2 linked regions of the Bombyx mori genome follow. The protein of the gene in region 1 binds, or shares a complex with, the protein of each later gene. Links are inferred from orthologs where the notes say so. Each region holds a gene or a part of one and is shown in the gene's direction. Other genes may lie near its edges.

Region 1 (7,374 bases):
GTACAAAACGAATACTATTAGAGCGAAAACGTGATTAGTAGGTAAAAGTATATTTTCAATGTAATCCATTAAGAACATTTAAAAGGCTCTACGTCTGCTTAGAATCTTGAACTGTTATGACTTATGACTGAGCTGTGACATTTGTACGACTTCTTTCATATTCATATTAAAATTCTATTCCATGAGTCACTATACGTTTTCTTTTGTCAAAGAAGTACTTTGTGCTTTACAGGAATTGGAAAAGTATTCATAACCAGTTTAATTTTAAATTTCACGATATGCTATTAAATAAAAGTACCTTTATTAATAAACGCTAATTATAGGAATATTCAATTACAATTATGGGTTAATCCAATTAAATAATGCAATGGTAACAGCAAATGAATCGCGATTTTATCAATTTATTTTTTGAAGCTCAGCAAAGTTATCATAACTCGCATTTGTATTAACTACAATTATAATTTTTTGTATTATAGTATTATTTGTATTTTTTAAATGATTAATTTTAATCAAATAGCCTTAAAAGTATTATTAAAAGTGGAAGTTTGCTTAAAAGTGCATATTATTAAACATTACTGCGCCGGTTGTGTGGTGCTAATATCGCCACTGTTTTCCCTACTTTTCATCGATATGTATTTTTTTTTTATTGCTTAGTTGGGTGAACGAGCTCACAGCCCACCTGGTGTTAAGTGGTTACTGGAGCCCATAGGCATCCACAACGTAAATGCGCCACCCACCTTGAGATATAAGTTCTAAGGTCTCAAATATAGTTACAACGGTAATATGTGGTAATATATCGATGCTACTTTTGCACAAGTAAATTATGCGTTTCGATATGAGACGTAAGATAATATTTTGCCCCTTGTCATTTTGAAATGATCCTGCGTTGTACATTAGCGTAGACATGTCTATTAGATAATGATAATATATTAGGTTCTTAGTAATTATCGTCTGATCAAAATGGACCGTTGCTTAGAGATTAGTATAAGTCGGTACTTAAATATCATAATCATAGTTACTAAGGTCATTCATTAGTGATCTGCGAAGTTTGTTGTAGTAAGAAAAATTTAATGAATGAAGATACAACAATACATTTTAGTTTTGATAAATTTCAGCAAAAGGTTTCCTCTTTATGCTGACTTGCGCTTGAAGAATATCGATGTGCAACGGCAAAGGTGAAGTACTGACGTATGCGAGTATAAATATTAATAGTGGTCTAAGGGTAGGGTGGCCTAGGGGAGTTGCAAGGAAAGGCCCCTCTATTCGCAGAACTCAATCTATGGCGCCGCCTAGACGGACATTAGTTACCTGGAAGTAAAATAAATTATAAGTACGTTGGAATTTACGTGGAAGCATTTAAAGAAATAAAAGTAATGTTTTGTGTGGTTAGTAGTTATGTTGAGTTTTTTGAAAAAAAAAATTGTCAAGGTTTTTGATTATGTGTATTTAGTTGCAGATAATTGCATCACCAACTAACTGCAATGGAGGAGTTATAGTGTTTTCTTGTTACTATTAATGAACTAAAAAAAATGGTTATAGACTAATAGCTATTACATAAATACATTAATTGAAAGAACGGAAGGCTACAGAGCGATGGTAAACTTGTAGATTTGTTATGAGATTTACTGAAAGAGAACAACTTAAAAAAAATGTTTACGTGGTTTAGTTACTTTTTGAATTAAGTATTCTCTGCAATTTCGGTGTACCAGATTTATAAATTTGAAGGTTTGAATTATTTTTCTTCAACCATTCACTCAGAAATACAACGTTAGAATGGTATTAATGGAAATAGTTAGCGAATTGTTTAACCTAACTTCTAACGGGATGAGGCGATTGAAATAAATGTTATTAAAGTCTAAAACGACATAATTGAAGTAATTCTAATGCATATTCCCCATTTAAAAACCTGTTCATTAAAAATCAATTTTCAATGTTGGGGCATTCGTGGGGTTTCCCTCCGGCGTGGCAGTGCGGTTACCGCGTGATATGAATACAATAACACCAAGCACAACTAAGGAAGTAATTTCTCGAATTTCACAAGTAACCAAACGAAAGTTGAAACCTTCGAAGATCGTTTCGAACAATTTCTGCTAAATTGTTAATAGTTATTATGTTACTAGTTAGAGGAGAATCCTTTAGTTTCAGTATTCTGTTACAGTTTATTGTACCGGCCTTGGCTCCAGAATTAGGTTTAAAATGAAGAAATATTAATATAATTTTCACACGTAATAAACTGAGAATTGTACAAAATTGTATTGTTTAAAGGGTTGTTGTATCTGTACACTGTTAAGTTTGTTTCCAAAGGTAATATTAAGATTTTTTTACCTCTGTTCTTTTAAATTATCTTTGTTTTGACCAAATGAGGCGTTATATATTCACCATATCTAATATATCAAAATTAAACGAGTATATCAAAATAAGAAGCATAAAACGAAGGCTGTTTTGTGAACTGTTCGTATGCCTACCTTTTACGAAAAGGACGGCAATATAGTTAGGGGTGGTGCTTTCAGAGGGCAATGGTGCAAACGCCCTGCATCAGTTATCTTGTAGCCGTCGAGGACGGTGGTTGTGTACCGGCTCTTACATTTTGGCTAGGACAAAAACTTTTCTCGTAATCTCGAATATTATTGTTATTTTTGACATCGATCGAGAGCGTACTCTATATTTTCGTGTGTGAAAATTGTATTATAATCTTTTCTTTACGACTCTAACGGAACTGTGTTAAATGAGTTATTATTTTTTTGAATTTATTAATTCGTGATATTAATTTTACGAAAAATATCTTTTTGGTTTCGATAATAATACTTTTCTAGTTCTTTTTGCTTAACGCTAGAACACAACAAAAAATATTCAAGTATGAATTTTAATATTTTTCATGTCATGGGTAACTTAAATCAATTCACGTTGGCAGCTAGCGGAAAAGTTATACTAGCTTTGCTCGTGCTCGATTGGTTTTTGACAACAACGACCGATGCCACGCTGCGTAAGTACTGAACTTTTTAATCCATTTTTAAATCTTAATTTCATATTTTGTAAATAGAAACCAAACTAATCTTTCGCATCTTATTAAATTCTTCGGCTAATGTTAGCGAAATATGTATGATGAATAATAATGATGAAATAATAATAATAATATGAATGAATGAAATAATAATAATAATAAAATAAATAAATAAATAAAGAAATATTTCATTTATGTAAGTCTATATTTTAATTATCAGAAAAATAAAATTGTAAGTGCCATTCGGACAATCGGGTACCTAAAATATAATATTTAATACAATAAAAGATAGTACAAATACAAGTAAGTTGAAATTTAATCACTGGTAGGCAGCGCTTAACGGTAGGCAGCGGCTTGGCATTGCTGAAGTCCATGGGCGACGGTAATCACCCATTATCAGGTGGGCCGTATGCTCGTCTGCCTACACGGGCTATAAAAAAATGGTAGGGCGTATTTGTGAGAAGAGTGTGTAAATAGTTATGAAATAATAGCAAAATGCAATACTCTGACCTTAAGGTAGATCGCAGCATTCTGCGCTGGTGACCACTTAACCAGGCGTACAGTGGAGCCCTTTTTTTATCCTACTTATGCTGATAGCCTCGAGAGGCTATTTCAGCTTCTCCTTGACGTGTAGGGTTCAAATCGGGAGTGTTGCTAACACTGGCCCTAGCAAGAGCAGTGCTTCGCAGAATCTACCACCGGATCGGAAACGCGACTCACTGAGAAGATCCGGCGAAAAACTCAGTGGGCTGTGTCTATGAGTTAATTTACTCGTCGAGCCCTTCGTCGCAAACGATGGGTTCGACGAGGACGGTTACTGGAGTGGAGCCCGTTTGCTAATTTAAATCAGTCAAAAATTAATTCTCATTATTACAAATATTATATATGAAATTTAATGTATAAAATGAAATTTAGTATTTTTTAATTTTAAATTGTAGTCTTCAATCTTTAAGCTAAGTAGATATTTAAAAAAAAGTAGCTATTACGTCAAGTTTCATAGTTATGAACATTTTTTAACGCATCACAGCACTATTAAAATGTTATAAAATAACTGTCTGAGCTATGTACTCTTAACTCAATATATCGGTTAACTTTGAGGTTTGATTTGTTAAATAGTAAAAACCAATATTATTGAACGATTTTGCACAAAAAATATTTTTTAAACATTTTTCAAAATCGATTGTTTTTAGACAGTAAGTAACTAAAACAGAAATATCTTTTATTGATTTCTACGATGTTTCGTATCGTACTGAATTTTAGAGGAAAATTATATTTTAATGAATAGTTGTTATTCTAAAACAATTTTGGTTACTCTATAAATTATTCTATTAAAATGTTACATGTATTATAGTTAAGTACATAATTTGTTTGTTTATATACTCATAAACATGCTCGCACTATCTCAATTCACCCGAAGTTGCAGCAAAGTTAAAACAACAACAATTCAACACAACCTTACAAAGTTTCTGAGTTTTTATCCGACGACCTCATTAGCCGATCTGTTACACCCTCCTCACAATGCAAATAACGCGAATTAGACAGAGAACAGAGATACGTAAGTACTACGCAGCTTATTATTCTGCTTGTCTAATCGTCCCGTCTAAGCCGTAACACGTAACGACATTGAACCTGATTAAATCTGTTGTCTTGTCTTTATATAGATAGCTAATTGGTGAGAATGATACACATTGTTGTCTAGCTGGAAGCCGGCACAATTTGAGTCAATCGACTTAATTAGTTCTTTAAAAGATTCGTACATTTGAATACTAACGAAATTGTGTCACGGCCCATTTATTATCAAACGGTCATCGGATCTGTAGGCGTTGGACGTAAAACTCGAATGACGCGGACTCACACGATATCGAAATTTTCACTAAAAATCTAAAGATTAAACAGCATATAATATATTTATATATGTTTATACACCCTATACTATGCTTTTATACATTAAATAGGTTCGATAAAAATATCGAATCTGACAGGGATCCCGTGGTTGCAGTAGATGACTTTAGGCCGCGCGGATTTGTAGCATGCCCCGCAATTGTATCTCGTGGAATTCGTGTCAGTACTGATTTGTTCAGAAAAGATGATGATTTTGCATGGAAGGATTTCTAGGGGCTTAGATGCCGTTCCAGTTTTACCAGGGTAGGTAGGCTAGCACGGATCAGTCAGAAGGTGTGGGATTACCCAACAGGTGCTCCATTGTCTCCGAAGGAAGCTTAACAGCTTGAAGGCAGTACATGCTAGGAAGAACTGAAAGCGGACCAGGTGGATCTTTCAGGACATCTCTAGTACGTGAGCCAAAGTTTTAGCTGATGGCGGCCATTATAAGAGGGTTATCGTGTCGAGTTGTAGCGTTCCAACGCTGAACTTTTAGCTTGCGGCCCCGGTGCTAAGTGGTTACCAAAGCTTACAGATATCACAACGTGAATGCCGCCGCCCACCCTAGGACATCAGGTTGAAGTCTCAATTGTATTGTACAGAGGCTGTATGGAGCGCATTACTATTTCTATATTGAAGAAATAGGCAAGATGGTGGCACTCATCTATATGAACTCATTACGTCCTACTACCAGTATGCCCCTTGCGAACGCAGTACCCTAGTGTAATACTCAGAAAAAGTTGTTCATTATTTCTCGATGATGTTCGTGGCTTATGATGATGGTTTTCATGATGTTATGACACTAACGAAAATATATTGCTATTCTAGGCCAAGCTTCTGACTTCTGCTGACTGGGAGTATTTAAAACTTTAGGTTTTGATACCTAGGTTGACGTGAAAGTCCTCACATACAACGATACTCCGACAGCTATCCTGAAGAAGTAAAACTGTAAAATTTGGTGCGATTTTATGAAGGCGCGGACCGCATTAGTAGGCACCAAACTCGGACAGGCCACGATTGGATGTATGCAAGTTTTGTACAGTGTCACCTTATTACAGGGTGATCATATTATATGTCAGATTACAGGGGGATATATCAGAGGGATACTTTATGCCGCTTGTAGATTCACAGGGCTACTTCGGTGAGCCTTTTCCGGAACCGGTCCTAGGGTTCCGCTTGTGATCTGAAGTTTTTCGCAAATAATTACATATTTCTCCTAGTGAAGTAATAAACAGTCATGTTATCGGCGAGGAGGGCTAACTGGATCGGCGGTGACCGGGGGCACCATTGATGGATAGATAAACAGTAGCGTAGTAGACTAGCTAAGGTTAGGTGGGGATAAACGAGTTCTTCCAGCCTGGTACCAAAACGAGCGGTTTGATAAGAAGAAGGCTGAGCACGAGACTGTCCTGCACGCTCATGTTGCACAGCTTAAAACTCAAATCCTTGTGCCAAACTTTGTCGAACGCTTTCGCGATATCGAAGAGGATGGCTTCCGTGAATATCAGTTTGTAAGGGTCGAACTATAATGCGATCTTTGTGATTAATAACTGTTATTTTAATTAAATGAATAATAATATAAATACTACTGAACAGTTAAAAAAACACTTAAAATATACAAGTATGTATACTTAAAATAAGTTTTGATACTTTATTTCAAGCCCAAAAATTATAGATTTAATATTTTTTCTACTTTCTAGAATTATTAGATACTATCATTCTCAATAAATAAATCATATTTATATATATTTAACGGATCGTTAAAATATGTTAAATTTTCAAAATAGTTTACCTTGTAGTTGAATTATATAGCGAGGCTAAAATTGACGTGCAGTCAATTAGTAAGGTAGGGGAAACGCTAGGGTGCGTTCATAATTTGTCAGTGACAGTGTCGGAAGTTCAACAAGCCTAGTTTTACAATATACCTCCTTTCCATTATTGTGGCGTTTATTTAGCAATTTATCAAGTTTCGATACTGCCGACACTTTATGGACTACATAGATAAGATTTTTATTATGTTCAATACTTTTATACGAAGTTAGAATGACAAACATTTTCTTTTTCGTTTCACGAACAAGGATATCGACAATATTTATACCAATTTATTTTTGCTTTATGCTGAATGTGTCGATGTGCTTTAGGTTTGTACCATTACTTTCATCATGTCAGGCACAGAGCGTCCGCTTCTGAACGTAGATTAATTACATTGTAATACTCGCTTTGCTAAATAATTCATTAAAATGTTTCTTTTTTAGGAGTTACTGTGGATTAACTCACACCCACAGTGACTTTTGATTCCAAACTATTAAGTGGCTCGGAGCTCATGGTAAATGAGAAAATCCAACAGCCCATCTTGATATACGAGGTTGAATTCGAAATTTTATTGCATTTAACGCCTGTTCTATCCCTCAAAACGGAAAGAGTGAACGCATCACGGTATAAATAGGCAAGATGGTAATCAGTACTTATTACGAAAATTTCTAAATATTAGT
Region 2 (6,581 bases), on another chromosome or scaffold:
GCTCCGCCTGCTTCTAATGGATAGACTATTGTCTTGTATCTTTTATTCTCTGTTGTTATCGCTCGAATTGATAATAAAAATATTCTTCTCTGTGTTATTGAGAGCTTTAAATTTTAATATAGCTGCCCTAGTAGTTTGCTTTCATCAGTGATTTTAATTAAAAAAAACACAGTAAACTTTTAAAATTTAGAACGACCAAAGCTTGTTACTAGATTTTTAGTAGTATTTTCTTTAATTTTTTGATTGTCATTAATATAATTATCGTGAAATTAAGCCAGATTAGTAACTTATTTAAAGTATTTATTTGGTTTCACTGATACTACAAACACAACCAAATCTGATAAACATGACATGGAAAATAAAAAAAACGGTGCAAAAATCTTGAATTTAATTGAAAAAAGGAATATTTTTAGGAATTATTTACCTTTTCTTGTTCTAAAGCAATCATTCATGTACCTAAATAATAGAATAACTTATTTATTAATGTAGACACTGGAGCGTTCAAAGTTAATTCTCGACTGCCGCAGTGGAAGATCTTCATCGGACATATTTAACAAACCACATGACATGATCGTAGCGTAAGGACACATACGCAGGCTTAACCGCTTCATAAACCTCACCCAAGACTTAAACCTTATGAAGATGTCTATTTCCTCTACAATTTATTTTCCTGGGTAATTGCTAAACACTAGCTAGACTATAAAAATATTTATGGAAACAAAAATAAAACTAACGGAAGGTAGAAACAAAATTGAAGTGTCTGAGAATTTCTCATGTCTCTCTTCAAACCGTCCAAAGCTCTTGAGAAGAAAATTCCAAAATCGTAATACATTTTAGATTTTGTCATTGTCCAAACTGTCACACTGAAGTTTCAGCGTATATTTTCCACTTCTCATACAGCAATACGAAATATATTTTTGAGAATGTTCAGTCGAGTTTCGGCATCGTTGCCTTTTAGAATAATGTCAAGCGCTTCATCCTTAACATATTTTATTCTGTCTATCCAAGTGTTTGCTTTGAGCAGGCCGATAAATTTAACATATATGTACATATTTCGTGAATAAAGTGTAGATGGGCATAGTGTATGCCATTTGCCTTTTGATACTTGAGGTCGTTGTCTCACTTTTATTGGATTTATGGGGCTGAAATAATCAGGATGTTAGCGAACAGGCATGCGTTCGGGTTCTATACATATCGCCATCCACAAAATTTATAAATTTCAACCTGGAATTCGTTTTTGTTACGAGCAGAATTTCGAAGCAAGACATTTATAGCCTTTGAACCCATAGTAGTGTAACACAATGCGAGTACCTTTCCAGTACATTTTCCTGCCCGAATAGAATAACATGTAATAGTATGTTAACGATGAGGTATATGTCTATAAATTACAAGATATATCGTCGGCTTATTGCAAGAACTTAAAAATATTTTGCGTCTACCTTGTTGAACAAAAATGTGATAGCCGAAAACGATAATGTATATGATGATAATTAATTATACATTTAATCCACTTATCTTCGGTTCTTCTTGCTGTCGAGGGTCACCACTGTAGAAGTAGTTGTATTAGTTCTGCTTCTAACTGTATTAGGTAGGCGCTGACACGAAGGGTGTTTTACACAGTGAGTATGAATATGTACTGCTTTGAATAGTTTATTGAAGATAGCAATATTCACAAATAAACTATGACAAGAGTGGTACGATAAAGAATTAACTTAAAGAAGTAGTAAAGCACTGACACGAACGATGGGTAGCACAGCAAATATCGATGAGTACTGCCCGCAGTTTCTTAAGATTCCGAAGTGTTGAACAATAATAGATGATTGCCTGAATTCATAAGCGACAGCGATTTCGTCGAATTGTAAGGCGGTTGCCCAAGTAGTGGCGAGTAAGTGAGTCGCCACAAACTCATTAACTGCAAAAAATCACTAAATACGTTTTTATCTATAATGGCCTCATTTTTGCATACCGATTTCTAGCTGGCCAATTTTGGCCGTTACGTCTTTGGCAGAAAATTGATAATTGCAACTTTGGAAGTCAGGCATTTACAAAGATTCACTAAGCAGCACTAGTTATTTTTATAAAATGGATAATTATTTGAAAACAGCATACATTAGATTACAGAACTCATTTTCAGCATGTAATTAATTTTATCAAAACAAGTGTGGTATAATATAGCTTAAAATTGTATTTCGATAAAATTAATTATCTACATTTAGTTAGTTTCTGTAATACATTATTATGTATATGAATGATAAGATCGTATAAGAATGATTATTTTATAAGCTAAATTAAAATTATACTTGGCTGTCACCATGATGCCATGTCATAATTCACTTATGTAGTATCGGGCTAGTTGGCCTTGCCTGTCTTTTGATGCCGACTAAAAAATTATCATGAACACTTTTTAATATCCTTAAATCCATACTACGCCATTTTTACGTTCAGTTCGGAGTAGCAAAAACTGTAAAAACAATCTAATATCATATTGTTAAAATGAGACTAATTTGTCAAAACTGAACGCTCACTTTAATTACAACTAATCCATGAAAAAGCTAGCATTCTTGGAAAAATTTCCATCTAAAATAAAACACAAAGTGGTCTTTTATTTTTATAAAACAATTAACATCAAAGCGAGTGTAATTTACAAGAGATTGATGACTTTTTAAACATTCCATTAATATAATAACACAATAGTTTCAACTAACTCGCAGTCTCGTCTCACAGCATTTTGACGTTTTGTTTAGCATTATTATATCTTTAAAAAATACATTGTCATTTTTTTAGATGTCTGTAAAGTTTTTTTTTACTTGGATTTATAAGATAACGGCGTTCTTCAATGTATGTTCTCGTATGTTCTTCAATGATCTCAATAATAAATAAATAAATATTTACTAACAGTCACGCCACGTTAATTGGTCCCGTGATAAGTTCGTAAAGAACTTGTGTTAAAGGTACCAGATAACGGATATAAATGTAAGATTTTTATTATACACATACATATATTTAATAGACATCCATAACCCTGGAAAAGACATTTATATTTATCATACAAATATCTTCCCTTGGCGGGATTCGAACCCGCGACCCCCTTGTGTAGTGACCATGTCACTTACCACTACACCAGACGGCCGTTAATGACTGATGGATGGATCATAAAATATTTTTACGTTCTATATTCAACAGATGAAATGCAGAAATGGTACACTCGGATGACGATTACTCTCTCTCTAATATCTCTAATAAAGTTACTGACTCTGATTGACCAGAAGATGGACCAGAAGACCAACGGAGCAGTCAAATTTTAGATGGATCCGAAATTAATTGCAAAATACTAGAACAATGCGAGATCGGCTCTCCATAAACATCGACACATTCAAGGAGTAACATTGTAACTCGTATTTCGGCTCGGCTAAAAACCGGTTACAATGTTATTCTCTTGTACTTGTATAATCCAGAAGAAAATATCATACACATCAATCGATGCTTCACAAAAAGATAGGATCCATTATACTCCAGTGTTTTTATTAATGGAGGCCCGGAGGCCTTTCCAGTTTCATCAGGACAGGTCGGCGAACAAAAATTCAGCCAGGAGGGGTGCGATTGGCTAACAGCTACCCGAATGCCTCTAAAGGAGATCTAATAATTCAAGAGCAGCTGCTTCGCGAATGAATCTACTACCGGATCGGAATCGCGACCCGCTGAGAAAATTCGGCGAGAAACTCAGCGAGCTGATGCATCGGTTAGGTTGCACATGGAACTCTTTGCCGAGTTCGACGAGTACGGTTACTAGGGTCCCTAAGCCTGCTCCTAATGTTAGAGCTTAAGGCGTCTAATGTAATAGTTATTAATTACACGCAGTCACACCCACAGATTTTACATACAAGGGTACAACGAATATATTGATTTTAATTTAGGAACATATTGTGTTTCTTTTATTTGTTTAATATCAGGATAAATGGTAAAATTCAAGCTGTCGATTCTTGACTTTGTTTTGTAATTTCTGTCGTCATGAAAAATGTCTGTGAATTGTAAAATCTCAGTCACGTCAATATCTCAGATAATTTAATTAGTGTAGTGTTCAAAAGCCTAAAAGTAACAAGAGTTTTGTTGCAGGTCAGCTGGATCAGGAAGAGGGATCTCCACATACTCACGGCTGGGATTTTGACTTACACATCCGACCAGAGGTTCCAGGTTATTCGGCCTGAGAAGTCAGAAAATTGGACACTGCAGATTAAATTCCCACAGGAGAGAGACGCCGGGATATACGAGTGCCAAGTCAACACGGAACCAAAGATGTCTTTGGCATTTCAACTTAATGTCGTTGGTCAGTATGAAATATAAAAAAAAAAAAATCCGTAGTGATGCGGCACGTTATTTATAAAAAGAGCCAGATCACGAATCCAATGAGGTTTTTCTTTTATTTTATTATTTACCTAATGTAACTCTCAGATCAGAGAACTTGCCAGGTCTGTGGTCTCGCGAGAGCACAAAAGTCACCGCCGCCTCCCGTGAGTGGAGTTAATAATCGCCACGTATTCAACACATTCGTTTGCATCTTCATGACGTATGAAATTAGTTAATAAACATATTAATGTTTTGTTTAATAAATTTTGATCAGTTTGTCTTACCTATTGCATTTTAATATTGACATAATCAATATCACACGAATACTGTTTGAATAATACAGAAATTTGTTAAAAAAAGTAATAACAGAGTAAGTACAAATTTTAATAATTTCATCAATCTTATAAGTCAAGGATAGAACAACAAAATTTTAATATCGAAATGTTACTCTTAACAAAATAGGAGACAAACTAGAATTTAATCTGAGTATTTAGTAACCCCTGATAATTAATCTAAACAAGGTCCTTGACAGTTTCCAATAAAGCTTAGTAAAATCTGGGACCATTAACAGCACAAACTTAAGTTCGTAACGCAAAGTTTGGCACTAAAACCACATTCGCAGTTGATGTAAAATATGTCCGGGATTCCTGGATCGTAAATAAATTTACAGAGGAGACTCCAATAGTTTTATCTGATACATTTTTGTGTCTGTACCACAAGATTTGGACGTTTTTTTTTGTTCCTTTACTAGGCGTGGTTATAATTTAAATTTACAGTTTGTGAAATAATCGATAGCTTCTTCTGTTACATTTTTGAGATCTTCCACTTGGCCTGCGAATTTCGTTATTGAGCATTCCATGACAATGTGGCGTACAGTTTGCTCTGGGCATCTGCATTCACAGCTTTGGTTTTCCGTCCAACCCCATCTCTTCCGCAGTTGGTTACAGTGACCAACTCCGCGATTTAAGCAAGATCTCTAGGCTATAGCCTCATTGACTACTGCTCTCTTACTTATGGTAATAGCTTAACAAATTGCACCAAAATATCTATGCAATTTAAATAATACTACTTCTTCTTAATCATATCCTTCTTGATAGAGTGATCGTAAACGTCTATGTAGCTTTGGACGGAGCAAATTTCACCCATCTTACAAGGCTATACGGCTACAGATTTCCCACAGTGGTTCTGATTTGGTCGATACACCACATTGAAAATAGAATTTAATAAATAATTGTATATAATATTATTCAAACTTATTATTTTAAATCAATAATAGCCTTCAATGGGTTCGATATTCTTATTACGCGCTTATCAAATGTTGCATTAATATTCTATACATCCGTATTTGTTTAAGATAGATAATTTTTTAGCTTTATAATGTATGACTAAATGTCTAAGTGAATTACAAACAAGAAAGTTATCGAAATACAAACTGCTATCGATACGCTAAGCGTGAATGTACCCTTAGGGAGAATGATGTGTTTGACGACAAGTCACAAGTAAACTTAGGAATTTAACAAGAACTTAGGAAACTTGTAGCTTGCTATTTATCGCCTTAGATTTACATAATAATAATTTTAGCAAACAAGATTGTGTTAAAGTTCTGATAAAGCCGTTTCCTAGAACAAAGTACTTTCAAAGTTTTGACAAGGATACGTGGTGTATATTACAAATTGCTTACACAATTGTCGTGGGGCAACTAAAATGAAACACGTTCTACCATACTATAATACAATAATACCAAAATATATGTGATAATTCAATTACTTTTATTTTATTTGATTATGTAAAAAAATTAATTTTAGGATCGCAGACATTTTTTTTTTTATTCTACTCTGTGATTCAACAATTTTGTTGATTCTGCCAGTTAGACCTCTCTAAGATATTTCACATTAAGATAAGTTTCATTTTAATCGACGATAATAATTCAAGGTCTCAATACACAATGTAGTGCTGGTACTATTACATACAACTTGTTTGACACAAGTTTTTTGCGTCTGAAGCTTTATAAATTTGAGAACTTAAGTTTTCGAACATTAAGTGCCCATACTGGTGGTAGTACCTCTTGTAAGCCCGCAGGGGTAGGCACCACTACCCTGCCTATTTCAGCTGTGAAGCAGTAATGCGTATCGGCTTGAAGGGTGGGGCAGTCGTTGTACTGAACTGAGACCTTATAACTCATATCTCAAGGTGGGTGGTGGCATTTACGTTGTAGATATATATGGGCTCTGGTATCC

What was found.
Region 2: the proteins of opioid-binding protein/cell adhesion molecule homolog (region 1) and zwei Ig domain protein zig-8 are in contact, whole or in part, in a crystal structure (PDB 6NRW), measured with the Drosophila melanogaster proteins. The link is inferred for Bombyx mori from reciprocal best matches to the Drosophila melanogaster genes DIP-eta and dpr1. Residues at the interface, in NP_001188701.2 of Drosophila melanogaster: Tyr72, Lys73, Val74, Ala75, Leu77, Arg78, Val79, Thr81, Gln82, Thr83, Ile84, Ile87, Ile92, Thr93, Lys94, Asn95, Met124, Gln126, Ile127, Asn128, Thr129, Asp130, Met132; in NP_001286645.1 of Drosophila melanogaster: Asp82, Lys83, Ser86, Ile88, Lys90, Asp92, Leu93, His94, Ile95, Ala98, Tyr103, Thr104, Ser105, Asp106, Glu136, Gln138, Asn140, Glu142, Lys144.

Annotation. Positions count from the first base shown.
Region 1 is NC_085115.1:7,130,636-7,138,009, forward strand, and holds the start of opioid-binding protein/cell adhesion molecule homolog, read left to right. Parts: upstream 1-2,537; 5' UTR 2,538-2,856; coding exon 2,857-2,983; intron 2,984-7,374.
Region 2 is NC_085134.1:6,086,125-6,092,705, reverse strand, and holds part of zwei Ig domain protein zig-8, read left to right. Parts: intron 1-4,113; coding exon 4,114-4,324; intron 4,325-6,581.